2 linked regions of the Mus musculus genome follow. The protein of the gene in region 1 binds, or shares a complex with, the protein of each later gene. Links are inferred from orthologs where the notes say so. Each region holds a gene or a part of one and is shown on either strand. Other genes may lie near its edges.

The links. Proteins that work in one complex are often made in the same cells at the same time.
Region 2: the proteins of Atp6v1a (region 1) and Atp6v1d are in contact, whole or in part, in a cryo-EM structure (PDB 9B8P), measured with the Rattus norvegicus proteins. The link is inferred for Mus musculus from reciprocal best matches to the Homo sapiens genes ATP6V1A and ATP6V1D. Residues at the interface, in NP_001101788.1 of Rattus norvegicus: Ala366, Met368, Pro369, Ala370, Asp371, Ser372, Asp416, Ser418, Asp436, Lys438, Glu491, Gln494, Leu495, Val496; in NP_955418.1 of Rattus norvegicus: Lys4, Asp5, Arg6, Arg167, Ala171, Val175, Ile176, Arg179, Tyr186, Glu190, Arg194, Glu197, Tyr200, Arg201, Lys204, Ile205, Lys208.

Annotation. Positions count from the first base shown.
Region 1 is NC_000082.6:44,136,424-44,140,533, reverse strand, and holds the start of Atp6v1a (V-type proton ATPase catalytic subunit A), read left to right. Parts: upstream 1-1,274; 5' UTR 1,275-1,572; exon of another isoform or gene 1,573-1,586; intron 1,587-4,110. Other genes in the region: Naa50 (N-alpha-acetyltransferase 50), read right to left, coding at 423-430. UniProt on the Homo sapiens protein: Catalytic subunit of the V1 complex of vacuolar(H+)-ATPase (V-ATPase), a multisubunit enzyme composed of a peripheral complex (V1) that hydrolyzes ATP and a membrane integral complex (V0) that translocates protons.
Region 2 is NC_000078.6:78,858,824-78,862,837, reverse strand, and holds the start of Atp6v1d (V-type proton ATPase subunit D), read left to right. Parts: upstream 1-1,199; 5' UTR 1,200-1,378; coding exon 1,379-1,419; intron 1,420-4,014. UniProt on the Homo sapiens protein: Subunit of the V1 complex of vacuolar(H+)-ATPase (V-ATPase), a multisubunit enzyme composed of a peripheral complex (V1) that hydrolyzes ATP and a membrane integral complex (V0) that translocates protons.

The DNA of each region.
Region 1 (4,110 bases):
TTCCCTCCAGAAGGTTCTGCACGGCCCACAAGTCTTAAGAAAACCCGCAACGTGTCAAAGCCCGCGGCCACAGCGCCGTTCCCGGATCTGGAGGAGCACCTTCAGGTGGCTCGGTGGTGCGCTCCCGGGAAGAGGCCCCCGGGCGCCTCATTCCTCCTCCCCGTGATCTCAGGCGGTGCACACACGTGAAACCGTGGACTCGCGCCCTTGCCTCCGTCGGCCCTTCAGCCCGCCAACAGCCGGCCTAGCCTCCGCCCCCCTCCGGGAGCCGCGGGACCGGGGAAGCCCGGCCATGACCCTCCGCCCGGGCTTCGCGCGCGTCTCTTCCCCGCAGCGCTCTCCCTGTCCATCGACCCACGCCCCTCTCCTGGGCCCCGGCCGCCGGGGTCCCCCCCACACCCCCGCCAGCTGCCCTTCCTCACCCTTTCATCTTCCCCGTCTGCTGAGGCCGTCGTTACAGCCGCCGCCAACGCCGTCGTCCTCGTCGCCCGGAGCTCTCCGCCCGCGCCCTGAGCTCAGACCACTCAACCCCACACGCCGGTCTTTTGGCTGAGAAGCCAAGCCAGGCCCTGAGGCTCCGGGAGACGCGGGGAAATCTGCCGCCGCGCTGCCGCCGCCGCCGCTCCTCCACACGTGCACTCGGGACACTCGGCTCCCGCCCGCAGCTGCCGCCAGCCAGACCCGCCGCCGCGCTGTGACCTTTCACCCCGCCCCTCAACGCGCCGGCGCGGCCGCCGCGTCGCGCGCAGGCGCAGTGCTCCGCGCCGCCAGGATTCCCCGCCCCCCGCTCTCCAGGGGCCGGGCCTACGGCCCGCTAGCTCCTCCCACCCTTTGCGACACTCTCTAGGGGATCTGGCTTGGTAGGCTCCGGCGGCAAAATCCGGATCTTTCCACCCTTCTCTCGCTTTCAAGCCAGCAGGATCAGCCTTTCCCGCCCCCCACCCCGATTCCTTTCTAGCCCTCCAGTGACCTTCAAACCCTCTGGCCGACTAATAGGGTTTTGTAAAACGGATTCTTCTCAATGTAAGAAAGCCCATGGGAACTTGCAGTAAATGTGTTTTAAATTCAAAAGGTAGTGATGGGTCCGGATAACTTGGCGATCCTCCAGCAGGCAAACCTCACAGGGTTTTTTTTTTTTTAAATCACGTGATAGGCTTAACGTCTTCCAGCCCAGGATTTTACTGGGGCCTTAGAGGCGGGACTCATGGCCATTTCCGGTCCCTAGAGCGTGACTTAGCGTCACTTCCTTAGCAATGCACTTTAACCCTTGCCATCCTCGTCTTCTGTACTGTAGTTTCTGTAACCCCCGTCATTGTAAAAAAAAAAAGAAAAAGAAAAGAAAAAGAAACTAACGCTTTTCTGAAGTCGCGGAACCATTCACATCCAAGGCGGTCCGCAAAGATTTAAGCCTGCGAGACGCGGCGTGACGGGCGAGGGGAAGCGGGGTGGGGCTTGAGGACACATGACTAGCTAGGACTGGCCCGCCTCCTGCAGCTGAAGACTTCCCCTCTCTCAGTGACAGAGCCTCTGGGTCCCGTCTAGGTACACTTTCTGCATTTCGAGCCCGGGCAGGTGAGGTGCGACAGGTAACTCGTGGCTGGTGGGGACGATTGACAGGGTGAGAGCAGATAGGGTGTGTGAATCGCGGCCTGCGGATGCTTGGGGCTCCCTTTCCGTTGTCCTCCTGCACGGGCGAGGAGCTCATTTCTGCTAGACCCCTGGCCCTTCACCATCACCGTGGTCCATTGACTAGGGATTATGATGCCCACCTTTTCCCTGGGTTGAGAGCGAGTACGGCCATTATGGTTCCCTATTTGGAGCCTTTGGGGCTGATTCAGGTGGTAGGATTGTGTTAGCTATTTCTTGGGGGTCTGCAACAACCGACGGATCCCATTCCCCTAAACTCCTTCCTTGGGAAAGGCCATGGCCCGGGTGATCCGGATGGTAGGAAAACCCCGGGAGGCAGAGGCGTCTCCGGTGAGACAGGCTTGGGAGGGGATGTCACTGAGATGGCCCTCACTGCAGAGTCACACTGAAGGGCTTTCCCCACAAATGTGCGTTCTCAGTGATCCTAAGGGTTTGCCGACATCCTTGCAGAGGTTCAGGGAGTCTTCAGATGAGACTGGAAGGGTAAGAGCGGGCCTTACACCTTTTTTTTCGGAGAGAAGGTGGTTGTACTCTCCTCAGAACAGGGTGTTGGTAATGCGACAGTCTCGGTTGGTTGGGAAGGTGATGAAAGGTGGTGTTGCCTTGTTGGGCTGGAGACCCAGACTAGCTTATGGGAAAGTGACGAGGTTTTCCCGAAGGGGAAGTAATTTTACGGAAACTGATCAGGCTGAAAACATCATTAATCCAAATCCATGTGTGTATAGTTTAAAGACTAGAAGATCGAGTCTAGACATTACTGACTTCATGTTTTCTGCCTGTGGGTCATTCCTTTTTGACATTTCTTTTAAGTCCTACATAATTGCCCTTCCCAGTCAGTTTAAAATTTGTGAAGTAATGCTTGTGCTCTTAATTCGCTTTTGCATTTGTTAAAAAATTCAAGTGACCCTTCTCAGACTTGAGAGTGCATAATATTTTGTGAAAATACAGAAATGGTTTTGCCTAGGGTTACCCAACCCTTTGTACTCCATTTTATGTGCACCGTAGTAGCCAATGTTTAAACCTCAAACAATGTACTTGACTGAAGGAATGTTCTTCAGTTTGGGGCTAAACTCTTTTATTTGTGCTACAAACTTAGAACGTTCCTTGTTTTGAAGCCGAAGGCCTTACAAAATCACAGATTTGACTTTTATAACCCAAATGATACATTTTCTTAGGGGAAATAAGATTTTCAGTTAAATCTTAGTTCTCTGCAATGTAATTGAGGAATCTGTTTTAAACTCTGCTGGGGGCTCGGGGATATGGTTCTTGCTTCCATGTAAGCTTGGTGTACTGGGTCCAACCCTCATACTAGAAAGAAAAAAAAATAGGAAAAAGATGGAATGATTATCTTACATTGATTGGTGCTCCCCCCCCCCCCTTTCCAGATTTTCTTATTTTTGAGAGCTAAAAGCTAAAACCTTAAACTCATAACGATTTAACAAGATAAAAAGACTGGCCTAAGCCAGTCGTAGTGGTGCATGCCTTTAATCCCAGCACTCGGGAGGCAGAGGCAGGCGGATTTCTGAGTTCGAGGCCAGCCTGGTCTACAAAGTGAGTTTCTGGACAGCCAGAGCTATATAGAGAAACCCTGTCTCAAAAAACCAAAACAAACAAACAAACAAAAAACAAAAAAGAAAGACTGGCCTATTTGATACTTTTTACTACAATATTGCCCAAGTGATTTTGCATTGCCCACATTACCGTTTGTGCTTGTGATCCAGACTAGACAATAGGAATTGATCTGTTTATATAACAAGCATAAATATAGATTCTTAAAGAGTTCATTCTTTTCATTGCTAATCATTATTCTGTGGTATGGATGGCACCACAGTTGGTTGAACCATTCACTTGTTGACACAAACCTTTTTGTTTGTGTCTGTGTTCCTGCACTTAGAGGCCAGAGGTGCCTTCCTCTGTTGCTCTCCTCACCTCAACCCCCCTTCTTTTGAGGTAGGTTCTCTCACTGAACCTGGACTCACTGATTCTGGGAGCCTAGCTGTCCATTAAACCCCAGGGATCCTTCTGTCTTTTGCCCTGAGCACCCAGGTTAAAGGGACAGTACTACACTTCTACAGAGCACTGGGTAGCTGAACTCAGATTTTCATACTTGCGAAACATGCAGTTTCACGACTGAGTCATCTCCTCAGCTTGAAATATAATTTTATCCATCGTTTTTCTCTAAAGTGAGGTTCTCTGATCTCTCCGGAGAGAAAAAAATTTGGCTCTGCTTTCACGCCCATGTGACATTCCACCAAATAAACAGAATTCCTAAGTGTTTTAAAAGTCCAGACCAGTTCTGTGCAGGTGCGCCAAACTGGGCTAGAGGAAACCAGTTTGAAAGCACTGAGAATTTGTGGAGGAGAAAGAAGTTCATAAGAAAGAGGCTCAATGAGTCTGCAGTTTTACTTCACAGTTAATTGCTCCATTTTAGGGAACTCAGTAACTTAAACTTCTAATGAATCG
Region 2 (4,014 bases), on another chromosome or scaffold:
ACTCTAAAGTTTTACGCTTTCAGCGTCCATAATTACAAAACTCCAGTTTTATTTTCGCAGTTACCCAAACAGGGCAAATAACTTCAACAGCTGATTTTAAATTCCAGGAATTCACTCATACAGAAATGCACAGCTAGAGCGAAAACTTAACGACCTCAACACTAATAGTTCCATTTTGGACTTTTTTTTAACTTAAATATGGTGGTTTATCCTATTGTTTCTTTGGCGAAAAGTTCAGTCTCCACAGAGAGAAAAGTTTTGGCAGTATCTTGGGGCTGAAAAGAAGGATAAAAGAAAGAAAAAAAAAAAAAGCCCAAATTCTCCGGTCCGGTAAAAGCAATCGTCTTGAACTAGGAGTGGGACTGGAGTCGAGGGTTCTCCAGAGGCCTCCCCACCACAAGACATCTTTAAGGAGGCTGTAAAAATCTACTTGGCCCACGTTCCTTCAGGGGTTCCTCCGCCCGTCCAGCCACGTTTCTGGCTCGCAGGAGCAGACACCGGCTGGCGAGAGGGCGCAGGAAATCACCAGCGGGCGGTGGCGACGGGGTCCAGACACTTCCCGCGCAAGAACGGGAAAGGGGGGGTAGCCCGGGGCCTAGCCGCACTGGACAAAACCAAGGCGAATCCTCGGGGAGAGCAAGCTGCGGGGCCGGTCACCTGAAGTGGATGTGTGAATCCCGAAGTAGGGTCCCACGCCGTGCTGCTTAGTGGCAACGAGGAGACTCGGAACACCAACCCCGGACGCCGAAGCTCCTCAGCGTGCGCTTCGCCCAACCCAGCGCGCATGCGGAGCCACCTCTCACTGCGCAGGCGCCGACAGAAAAGGATCCTTCGTTGCCACTAACCATAGAGTCTTGGTCCTCCTAATATGGGCGGTGTGAACCAAGGGACGAGCTGAAGAGTCACTGCCCCTGGTATTTATAGATTTTTTTGCGGAGGGAACTTGCTAGGTTTAAAGGAGAGGTAAGTTTCTGTTTCTTGCTCCAGGATGATCGCTTTAAGTTTTAGTCAACCAAGAGAGGGCGCTGTGACGAATGGCGGAAAGCCGAGGAAGAGGAGGAGCGTGATCCTCTCCTGACCCATCCCTCAGAGCGTGCTGGGTGCCGGCGACTCGCCGGAGGGAGGGGCGGTGGAGAGACCCGGAATTCCGGACTGTGCGCGCTTCCACATCCGGGCATTCCGTCTCCTCCCCCTCCCTCAGTCCTCGCCCAACAGGAACCGGAAGTGGGAACCGGTTTCCTGGTTGCCTCTTAGCAACGCAGTTGTCAAGTGACCCGGTCAGCTGACTCCCGTGGAGGCGGGCACTGGGGTAACCGGTTCTGGAGGTGTTGCGGTCCCGATTGTCTCGCCGGGGGGCCCGAGCCGAGTCACCGTCAGGATGTCGGGCAAAGACCGGATTGAAATCTTCCCTTCGCGAATGTAAGTTAAAGACTAGGACAAGCGACAACCGTGTTCAGGCACATCTTCCCGGCGCGCATTCCTGCGTACCCTTGGCCACCAGCAAGGTTCCTTGGTTTCTGGGTCGCTCCTTGAGCTTTCCCCAGGGTCTTCGTTTCCTCTGAGTTCCGAGCGAGGTTTCTTTCCAACGCTCCCCTCCCCTGCTGTTTCTGAGAGAAGAGGCCGGAGAAAGTGGTTCCAGTCCACAGGAAAAGGGGGTTCACCTGCTGGCAGCTTTTGGAGGTCGATGCCTTTACTCACTCATTCCGCACACCCTTTGAGCCACACACGGAGTTTACATAACTGAGCCGTCGGCGCCATCTCTACCTCCCAGGGCTCATCATTGCTGAGGATTGAGATGTAGACGCTGAGGTCTGACCAAAGCTCCCAGACGGGAAGTTATGTGACAGGGAAGCAGCTAGAAGGCCCCTCAGCCAAAGTGACATTGAATGTGTCACCCTCTCGCAGCTGTAGGTTTCAGTCTTGGATCCCGTCAAGTGTTATTTGCTGTGGGAAGATATCCCTGCATTTCTGAGGTATTCCTATAGCCCTGTGATGACTGCACTCTTTACGTCTAGCAAGTGTCACTCATGACACTGTCACGCGGGTATTTATTTGGGCTGTCTCCTGGATGAAGGAGGCATCTTTTTAATGCATAGAAGGTCCACAGAAAATTGTTCCTTGAACCCTTGCTTGGGATGTGCTCAGTTACAGGCCGCCTTTCTGCTTTGGGTTAACATCCTTGTTAGGAGAAGTGATGAAGTGAAAACTTGAAGTTTTCTCAAATACATATAATAACTTGTGGAAAGAAAAGGGTATTTGTGCTCTCATCTTCAATTGTTCCTGAAGAAGGAAATCAGTTTTTATTCTGATAATTAGGTCTCTCACTGTGGTCCTGTTTTGGGGCCTGTTTAGGGTTTTGCGTGTGTGTGTGTGTGTGTGTGTGTGTGTGTGTGTGTGTGTGTGAGAGAGAGAGAGAGAGAGAGACAGACTGTATTGTTTACCTTATCCTATGCCTTTTTACTTATAGACCCAAGGACTCTTAAATAGTTTCATTTAAACCACAGAATGAGTTTCTGTCTCTGCCAGGGTATATGTAGCTCTGAGTGAATGAAAGGGTTTAATTATTTAAAAACAAAACAAAACACTTTTAACCTTCTCCCCAATGGCTTTGAAATGGCAAGTTATACTAACTGTACAAACCTGCCAGCTGTGGGGAAGTGCAGTGCTCGTGAAACAGCTAAAGATCAGGACGACCCTAGGGTGATCCCAAAGCCAGCATGTAATGGCCCCATCCAAACTTTACTGAGACATCCGATTCCAGGGTGGCTTCTGGAAACACAAGGACATATCCTAGGATGACCACAGTTCTCCTCCCCACTCCCCAGCCACTAGCCCCAACTGTAATGCCACTGAGTAATATCTCAGAGGCAGAGCTCTTGCCTGGCATACAAAAGGCCCTGGGTTGAATCCCCAGCACCTAAAAGTAGAAATAACCATGCCTGCCTCAAACAAACAAAACTCAAAGCCCATAGGAGAACTAAATACTGGTTTTAGCTGACATCTGATTGATAGATCCTAGACCTCTCTTTGAAAGAAAAAGGGTTTTTAATTGAATATATAGTTTATCTAACTCATAAATGTGTCAGGGATCTGAGAGAACCCTTCTTCGTAAGGTAATCAACCAGGACAGGGTCTCTGTGTCTCTGTGGGAGGCTAGAATCCTGACTTCTGTTCCTGTCAGAGAGCAGGCACAGTTGACACAGCCACAGGTGGACTTTCCCTTTTCTGAGCCTGCCTGAGTGCAACTCATGCTCTTTAAAGTGCCCAGGCACACCTGTGTGAGCCAGAATGGCGCTCACCTTTTTGCTTTGCTGCTAGTGGTCTTACTGTTATAAATAATGTCTGGCCATATTTAATCACTATTTGTAATGCTGGTATGTTTTTATTTTTATTTTGGGACTTTTAATTTAAGACTACAAGGTGAAAAATGGGCTTCTTTGGGCTCAGACAGGAGAAATGATAGGTTTTTTTTGGGGGGGGGGTTGGGTTTTTTGAGACAGGGTTTTTCTGTATAGCCCTGGCTGTCCTGGAACTCACTCTGTAGACCAGGCTGGCCTCGAACTCAGAAATCCGCCTGCCTCCACCTCCCAAGTGCTGGGATTAAAGGCGTGCGCCACCACGCCCGGCTCGAAACGATAGGTTTGTGATCCTGAAAACTGTTATTTGAGAGCACTCTGCTTGCTAGCTGAGAGGAAGTCAGGGGTGGGAAGTAAATATTTTCCCCAAAGCCTGACAGCAGGTTCTTTGTCATATAGTCAGATGTCTTTGATTCAACGGGAGACAAAGTCAATGTTTTAGTTGAAGGTCAAACTTCTTGTTTCTTTGTTTTTTTTTTTTTTGTTTTTTGTTTTTTTTTTTAGGGCTAAGCAGCTTTGAAACAGAAAAGAGCAGGTTCAACAGCTGCCGTGGTCCAGATCACACAGTACTGGTTTTGGTTTCTCCTTCATTCGCTTGGTAGTATTGTCCTGTGGAATGTTGCTTTCATTTCATGTATCACCAGAGAACATGAAACAA